Linked DNA regions of Mus musculus. The protein of the gene in region 2 interacts with the protein of the main gene of each other region in a pairwise test. Links are inferred from orthologs where the notes say so. Each region holds a gene or a part of one and is shown on either strand. Other genes may lie near its edges.

Evidence for each region.
Region 1: the proteins of Kctd9 (region 2) and Nup35 interact in binary tests that used the Homo sapiens proteins (3 or more experiments, as listed by UniProt). The two-hybrid records come from large-scale screens. The link is inferred for Mus musculus from reciprocal best matches to the Homo sapiens genes KCTD9 and NUP35.
Region 3: the proteins of Kctd9 (region 2) and Trim42 interact in binary tests that used the Homo sapiens proteins (3 or more experiments, as listed by UniProt). The two-hybrid records come from large-scale screens. The link is inferred for Mus musculus from reciprocal best matches to the Homo sapiens genes KCTD9 and TRIM42.

What each region holds. Positions count from the first base shown.
Region 1 is NC_000068.7:80,655,663-80,658,203, reverse strand, and holds part of Nup35 (nucleoporin NUP35), read right to left. Parts: intron 2,256-2,541; coding exon 2,127-2,255; intron 1,016-2,126; coding exon 851-1,015; intron 1-850. UniProt on the Homo sapiens protein: Functions as a component of the nuclear pore complex (NPC).
Region 2 is NC_000080.6:67,740,079-67,742,952, reverse strand, and holds the end of Kctd9 (BTB/POZ domain-containing protein KCTD9), read right to left. Parts: intron 2,658-2,874; coding exon 2,541-2,657; 3' UTR 643-2,540; downstream 1-642. UniProt on the Homo sapiens protein: Substrate-specific adapter of a BCR (BTB-CUL3-RBX1) E3 ubiquitin-protein ligase complex, which mediates the ubiquitination of target proteins, leading to their degradation by the proteasome.
Region 3 is NC_000075.6:97,363,368-97,367,028, reverse strand, and holds part of Trim42 (tripartite motif-containing protein 42), read left to right. Parts: intron 1-728; coding exon 729-1,426; intron 1,427-3,322; coding exon 3,323-3,661.

The DNA.
Region 1 (2,541 bases), on a different chromosome or scaffold from region 2:
TTTAACATCTTCTAGTTAGAAAACTATGTAAAACCAAACCCTACAAAATGAGGAATTTAAAATACAGATCTAAAGAGTAATAACAAAAAACTCAAATTCTGTAATGATCTCCAAATTTCAGGAGACTACAATGGGAAATTCCCCCAACCATCTGACAGCTCACGCATACTTCATGTGCAGGTATCATGGCCTGTGCCAAAATCCAGGACTCTCGGGAAATCAATGGGGCCAATAACAGCTTAAGCATCTCAGTTCCCATACCATTCTTGAGAAGGCAATGGATTTCTTTACATTTTTTAAATGACCACTTTCTCATCTGATATTCAAAGCTGGTCACCTTCCTTTGATAACTGATACTATTGCATTGTAAAGTTTTTTTGTTTTCGTTTACAAGTTTTATAATCAACTTGATAAAGTTTAATATTTTTTTTCATGCCAGCAATGAATAATATTTTGGTTTTAAGAACTGTTTTCTTTTGCTTTGCAGTACTGGAGATCAAACCATATACCTGTGGCACATGCTGCATAAAATGCTGAGCTATGTCCCCAGCCCAAAGAAAGAAACTGCTGCAAAATTAAAGACAACTTTCTTTTTTTTCCTTTTTTTTAATTAGATATTTTCTTTATTTACATTTAAATTTTTATCCTTTTTTCCCCTCCAAAACCTCCCATCCCATCCCCCTTCCCCTTCCTTTTGAACTGGTGAAGGCTCTAACTTTAAAAATGAGAAATTTAGAAGTTTGAAGGCTTCATCAAGGAAAATGAAGAGTAAACATTTAACTGTACACACACACACACACACCACTGATCTAATGAAACAGTAAACAGGCTACATGTATCCTAAGAATACCTGGTAGTCACTAGTGGAGGCCTTGTATGCTGTGGCAAGAGGCCTCATGGTAGAAACCCTAGGAGTGCTTCCGGACTGTGTTGGAGTGCCTAAAGTCCTGATGGGTGTTGTAAAGGCTAGAGATGGAGATGACAAGACTCCTCTGTCACTGTTTTCCATGACATTCTGGAGAAATAAAGAAACATGGGACACATCATCTAATACTGTGTAATACTTTCCCCAAAACACCCAAACACACACACACACACACACACACACACAAACTTATTAAAGACTACTAAATTTGACCATTTAAGTTTTTAAGTAAACTTAGCTTTGAGAATAAATACTATTTCTTAGCTAGAATTTGGGATCTAATCCAAATCAAACAGCCTCAATTTAATTATATATCACAAGAACAAGAGTCTCTGCATAAGACAGATGTTTTGGAATAGCAGGCTCCAGAGGACGTGAGAGAGGAATGGGGATGGATAAGCCCGGAACACATGATAAACATGTGCATTTGTTTAAAGCGTCTTAGAGCAGACCCTAAGGTAAGTCAGCAAGGACAAACAGAACTAACTCGTATAACTGTACAATTCCTATAGTGCCATCAGAGAGCCCTAGGGAAGAGAGGACTCTGGGGGTCCTGGGTGCCATGCAGCTTCAGACTCTGAGTGTCTCTTCCTACTCAGGTTCCCTTATGCGTTCTAAGAAACACCGTCTGCTTTGCCTGCTTTGTGTGTGCACTGGCAACAGGCACAGAAACTAGTATGCAGCATTCAGGAAAAGGTTTGCATATATTTATTTAAAGTATGTTCCAAAGGGGTTTTTTTTTTAAGCCACAAAACTTAAATTCTACTCACTAATGTTGAAAATTCTACTCACCAATGTTGAAAAAGTACATATAAAATAAACTTTAGCACTCTGAAACAGAAATGATTATCAGAAAACTTTAGCTACTTAAAGTCAGTTAGCATCCATGTGACATGTCTGTGCTGAGCAGCACCAGTCATTAGAAAGTTTATAAACCCTGATATGCTCTGAGCAGAAGTCAGAGAGGGCTAGTGGTCCAGACACCTAAAATCTACTTTAGTACTACTCCACACAAGTTACCTTTCTTTTTTAAAAAAAATGAAGAGTTCAGAGAGATAATCTCTAACATCTTGTAATGCCATTTCACAAACTAGGGAAAAGAAGAAAGGTGAGGCTAAAGGACAAACACTAATGTTAATATTTACCTGCACTCTTCATGCAGAATAAGTAAGCTACTTTCCTTAAATCACCCACAACTTACTTTATCTATACATGGCTTGACACCAATCATGATGGATTCTCCAAATATTCTCCCGTCTTTGCTTAAGGCTTTCCGGGCTTGCAATTTAGATTGGTAACGAATATGCATCCAGTTGCCTGTGTTAGACATCTGCAAACAATGAAATTGTTTCATAAGATACAAAATCCACACCTAACATACAAACATGAGGACAAAATTGACGTGCATTTTTATTTGATCCCCTATAAAAGCTGCATATTAGAATTCAGAAAGATCTATGGAAATAGCTTCTATACTCCCTCTCCAGATCTCAACTCCCTAAAACAAAACATGTGGCAAATACTCCCTGAAAGTAAAATGACTTCCAAATGAATTATCTCCTACAGAAGAGTTATATTAGCAACTATTATGTAATTTCTAAAAAGCTATATTCATG
Region 2 (2,874 bases):
AAATCTCAGCAGGAGGACTGTGGGGCTAACTGCCACTCACACTGCTAAGCCAGGCAGTAAAAAGGCTGAGAATAAAGCCTTGGGGAACATGTTTTATCCTGAAATAATGCAGCCACTTTCCTTTGTAGTTTGACGCTTTGTATTTTAAAGATACTACCTCCTTGGGGAATGTAATATAGTTCTAGAGTTTTTCATGTATAAAAGATGATTTAAAGTTCACTTATGACATAAATAACAGATTCATAAAATGAACTGGAGAAAATAGGTCTTAATAATGGAATCCATCATAATAATGACTTTATAATATTTCTTATTCAAAAATCCCTTCAAATGGTTTCTGAGGAACTTGACTATATCAGAGCCTGACATGTATTGTCTTCGACAGTTTAGGCTGAGAACCTTTCTGCAGCCCTCCCATGCTATTTTAACTTATAGACACACACATTCACGCCAAGCCTTTCTCTTTGGAACCTTCCTCCTTTTTTACCAATCTCTCTCCTAGATCTCTTACTCAACACAGCAAACCATCATTGATGTTCATCAGCTACAGAGCAACACAAATCACTGGGTGTCTTCCCTAGTGCAGAAATGGAAATGCTGGAGCATGGTGGTCTGTGAAAAGACAGTCAGGAAACCACACCCAACAAGTAAATGTGCTTTAATGGCTTTTTCAAGAAACCTAATCCATTAAGAGCGCGGCCTGTGTGGTCCGCTCCTACATGGCACCATCATGAAGAACTGTGGGAAATGCAGAAAGTGCTGTCTTAGAAAAGCAAGAGCAGAAACAGGCCGTCAGCGTTCCACACTGGTCATTTATTAATGTGGTTTCCATCAGCTCTGAACCCCGCAGTTCCCACACACACTGTGTTTCCATCTTTCAGCTCCTTCTGCAGCCTCAGATATGTCTGCAGAGGACCATTCAGTGAATGAATACAGTCTATAATTATTGAAAATAGAGTGCAGTGAAATGAGTTAAATAGAATTTAGGCACATATTGATTATGAAAATAGGTATCTCTCAATACAATACTTCTCTGTCTTGGTAAAAATAATAACACAAAGAAAATAATTCATTTTTGAAATTGCTTTCCTTTCCCTGTAAAGGAGTGCTCTCCTCCCCATGTAAGCCCTTTACTGTGAAGGAAAGCTTTGCATATGTAGATATAAGAATACGCTACAGAATAATGAAGACATGCCACTCTCCTGAAGGAGACTAGGGAGTCTGTAATGATTCACTGCCTCAAGCCGACCAGCCTGTAGGATTTAGAACCCATTTGGACACAGCTTCTTCCCTGCTTTTGGGCAACAAATAAGGACACTGGGACACCTACGAGGAAGGTAAAGGCCCTACTACTGTGTTCACAGATAATGACTCAAGAAAACTGGACTAAAATTTCATTGAAAAACAAGACAAACAACAAAAACTATTTAAGAAAAAAAAAAAAGAGCGAGCCACAGGTACTGACATAGAGCATCGTGTCCTAGCCAAATGCTTCCTTTGTTCATCAACCTTTCCTGGTGGCTATAATCAAGCCATCAGTTTAGAATTTCTTAGTCCCCTCTGCAGGGTTTCAGCTATAATTATCTGATGTTGCCTTCTTGTAGGCGACTGCAGGATTTATTCATACTCCACCTGCAGTAGATTCAGATTGAAAGTCTATTCTAAGCTGGTTGTGTATAAACTAATTGGCATTACATGAACTGTGATCAGGCTAAAGCTTGTATTTTGGTTCTGACGTTTCTTCCTGTGCTTGTGACAACTGAGCATGAGAACTGGACGAGTGAAGGGAAAGAGTAGCCTAGTCTCGTGCAGAATGGGACTTGCCTCCAATGAAGCAGAAGCATGCTCACTAGACAGCTGCAGTACTGGTGAGCCCTTCCTTCTCCTGCACAAGGATACACAAGAGCTTTCCGTCCACTGTGTCTCAAAATGTGAGAGCAGATTATGACTCAAATTTAGCTGTTTTCTTCTTTAAAAGTAAACATTATAGAAATGAATCTCAAAAGAGCCACAGGGAGTCTTAAACTAACCACCCTCATGTGATAGATAGGTGTGTGAAGAGGAAGGCATCACTAAAGCTATTTATAAACCTGAACAACTCTTCAGAGTCTTCAAGACATTTAACAACTTAAACATCCTTACTGCATCTAGGTATTCAATAAATATATTTGCATATGTTGTGCTTTTCATAAATTAAAATTTCAAATGCATCTTGAACCAAGATGGCACTTCCACACAATGCCTAAATAAAAGCAAATATAATAGCTACTACTCCTGGTCAGAGACCAGACAAATGCCCCAACTCCACTCAAAATGCAGCAGCATCATCTACTGCCCCTACATCTATGAACAGAGTGTCCTTCTGTTACAGTCCCAATGAGGGGAAAGCCAATTACTTCCCCTTATGCACCTCTGGGAACAAGCATATGCCTTAAATTCCCTTACAATTTTATCTCCACTACACAACTCGATGGATGGATGGAGAAATAAAATAAGGAAACGCTTCCATCTGGGACATCTTCCTCCAGCTCCTGCCACTCTCATCTGACACTCTGGGACATATGTAATGGTGTCAGCATCTCTTCAAATATGGCACCCTTCACATTGGAGCCTCTCAGGTTGGCTTCCTGGAGGTCACACCCCGACAAATCACAGTTCTGTAAGACAAAACAAGACGTGAAGAGCTCAAATGATTTAGGATCTGACTTGGTTTCCCCCACAAAATGACTTCTGGCCATGACAGGACAATATTCCCAAGTGTTCCCATTATTGGAACCCTTCTTCTAATGCATTATGGCAATGTGAATAAAAATGAGCCCCATAGGCTCATATATTTTAATACTTAATCACAGGGAGTAGAACTATTTGAAAGGA
Region 3 (3,661 bases), on a different chromosome or scaffold from region 2:
GGCACAGCCACCAGAAGCATGCCTGTAATTGAGCTAGATTGGATTTATTGACTCATTTGCAACAAGGGGGAACATGTCCCACTCCACGTCAGTGTGAGGTACCCGACGGACTGGGGCTTGAGTTAGTGAGAATGGAGTCAATCAGTTGGTTCTCTTACTCCTGTCTAGAAAGCACCTAGAACACATGGAGCCTGAATCATCTATCAGAAAAAAAGAGAAGGTACAATCACTCACATTCCCCAGCAAAGGGGCGTAGGAGGCCATTTATGTGGTTTGGACAATATTCTGGTCCAACATCCTGAAGCAGTATTACTTCTGCTCTGATACATCACAGCCACTGTGGTCCTGTCTGATGCTTTATGGTGTTACTGATATGCATCAAAAAATCCAAGCCAGCTAACCATGCCATACCCCTCTGCTCTCTCTCTCTCTCTCTCTCTCTCTCTCTCAAAAAAAAAAAAAATTAGCAGGATGGCACTACATCGCTCTGGCTGGATCCAGAGAGCCTTCCGTGAAGACAATAAATCCAGTCTTCATCATCTTTTAAAATGCCATGTCATGGGTACCAGTGCCTTAACTGAGTTCATTTACTAAGAGAGTAGAGGCAAGCCAAGACAGGCACCATGCAGGAACCGTTTATCACCTTTCCTATGTGCAACCCCTCTGGGCTGGTCCTTCTGGAGCTCTTGTGTATTGTTCCTGAAGCCTGGGCTTGCTTTTTCTTTCAGCTCTAAGACCGCCCTCCGCGTGGGGAGCAGCGATACTCAGATGGATGAACCCAAGACCATGCCTGCCAGCAGCCACCTGGTGAGCCACCTCACCTGCCCCATGTGCAACCGGCTGCGCCTGCACTCCTTCATGCTGCCCTGCAACCACAGCCTATGCGAGAAGTGCCTGCGGCAGCTGCAAAAGCACGCCGAGGTCACGGAGAATTTCTTCATCCTCATCTGCCCCATGTGCAGCCGCTCGCACTGTATGCCCTACAGCCACCAGATGCACCTGCCAGAAAACTACCTGCGCGGGCGCCTTACTAAACGCTACATGCAGCAGCACGGCTACCTCAAGTGGCGCTTCGACCGCTCCTCAGGGCCCATCCTCTGCCAGGTGTGCCGCACCCGGCGCATTGCCTACAAGCGCTGTGTCACCTGTCGTCTCAACCTGTGCAACGACTGTCTCAAGGCCTTCCACTCAGACGTGGCCATGCAGGACCACGTCTTCGTGGACACCAGCGCTGAGGACCAGGATGAGAAGATTTGCATCCACCATCCATCCAGCCGCATCAACGAGTACTGCCGCAGCGACAACCAGCTACTCTGCGCTTTCTGCAAGATCGCTTTCCACAATGGCCATGACACGGTCAGCCTCATAGACGCCTGCTCCGAGAGGTCTGCTGCCCTCTTCAGTGCCATCGCCAAGTTCAAAGCAGGTCCCGATCAGTTTCCTGCTCCCCTTCAGTGTAACTCCCAGCTGTGAAAAAGACCAGAGGATGCTGTAGGGAACCTTTTGGGGGCAGGTTGTGGGGTGGGGTAGGGGGAGGTGCTCAAGCTGGTGGAGAAATCTAGACACTGGGAGAGCCTGAGATGGCCGCACAGGTATCCATGACAGCTATCACTGGCCAGTTAGTGTCTCTGTGACTCAGTTTTTTCAGCTATAAAATGGGAAGGATAGTGGTAGCTTCCTCATTGGGTTGGTGAGGATAAGAGGAGCTATCTTATGAAACATTCTCTCACCTCTGGAAAACAAACTGGAGAATAATAAGCACAGAAAGATCCTGTCGTTTTTGTTACAATTTTATTGAACTTTTGTCCCATTTTCCAAAAGGGAAAAATAAGTTTTCTCCAGTCACATCCCGAAGTTCTGCTTGTTTGTTTGTGTGTGGTGGTGGTGGTGGTGGGGTGTTTGGTAGTGGTGGTTTTTTGTTTTGTTTTTTTTTTCTGAGCATAACAGTTATTTTTAACTCCACCTCCCTGTTTCCAGGGGGGAAGAACTAATATAACGCTGAGAATCATCTCAATTGAAGTTATCTACCATGAACTTTCTGTCAAAATTGTAGGCAACAAATTTAAAGAACTGCTAATGGCCACATGGTAATAGGGAAACTCCAAAATAGGAGTAATATTCTGGCCAGCTCCTTTTTTTCCCTTCTGTCATGGTTGTTCATATTGGTGTATAATATAATTTATATAAAACCAACCCTGCTTTTTATACTAGAGCAAAGTACAATAATTTTTTGTAAAGTTCCATAAAAGTTTCATAATATCAAAATGTGCCTTTACCAGGTCAGACATGTCTCTGTCTCCAGGTAGACCTAGAAATTCATTTAGGGAATGGCTCCGCCCATAGAGGACCACTTCATATAGGTCTTTGTCTTAAAGTTTCTATTGCTGTGGTAAAACACCATGACCAAAAAACACTTGGGGAGGGAAGGGCTTATTTTATAATTCCACATCATAGTCTAGCATTCAAGGAAATCATGACAAGAATGTGAGACAGGAACCTGGAAGCATAAACTGGCAGAAGCCATGGAGGGATGCTGCTCCCGGCTTGCCCATTCATGATTAGCTCAGTCTGCTATGTTATAGCATCCAGGACCACCTGTCCAAAGCTAGCACCATTCACAGAGAGCCAGGAACTTCCAGCATCAATCATCAGTCAAAATAATGCCTTCGGACTTGCCTACAAACCAATCCTATGGAGTCATTTTCTCTATTAAGATTCTTTGTTTCCAGATGACCCTAGACAGAATGCTCTAGGAATATACCATGCCAGGCTCAATAAGCATACAGGGCAGATGTGGTGTACACTCCATGCATGAGACAGCTGTGCTTAAATAAAGTGGTCGGCAAAAGGCAGCTAGTAAGTCATGCACCCAGACTCTAACACCAGTGCTGAACAGTGACAAGACTCTCTTTTAAATTTAAAAAGAGTGTGGGGTGGAATTATTACTACTTATATTCCATGTCTATAAGAAGTGGTCTACCATCAATGGCTGAAGAATACTAGGTCAAGCTTGGTTGTTAAGACACCATTTAGTAGACATCAGGGAAAGTTACGTGTGCCAGGGGCATGTGGAGGAAGAATAGAGGGGAATTTATTTCAAAAGCCTGTTGTAGCCTGTGTCAGCCAAGCTAGGTGTTTCTCTCTCTCTCTCTCTCTCTCTCTCTCTCTCTCTCTCTCTCTCTCTCTCTCTCTCTCTCTCTCTCTCTCTCTGTCTCTCTCCATTTCCTTTGAGTCCAGAGATTTGCTTCAGTTTGATATGGCTTTGATATCTGTAGAGATGAAAATATTCACGGTAACCGACTTGGTTGTTTTTTTTTTTCAGTCCGATATGAAATTGATAATGACCTGATGGAATTCAACATTCTAAAGAGCAGTTTTAAAGCTGACAAGGAAGCAAAGAGGAAGGAGGTCCGGAATGGTTTCCTCAAACTGCGAGCCATCCTTCAAGAGAAAGAAAAGATCATCATGGAACAGATAGAGAATCTGGAAGTGTCCAGGCAGAAAGAAATTGAGAAATATGTGTACATTACGACCATGAAAGTGAACGAAATGGATGGCCTGATTGCTTACTCCAAAGAAGCCCTGAAGGAAACAGGACAGGTGGCCTTCCTGCAGTCTGCCAAGATCCTGGTAGACCAGATTGAGGAGGGCATCCAGAATA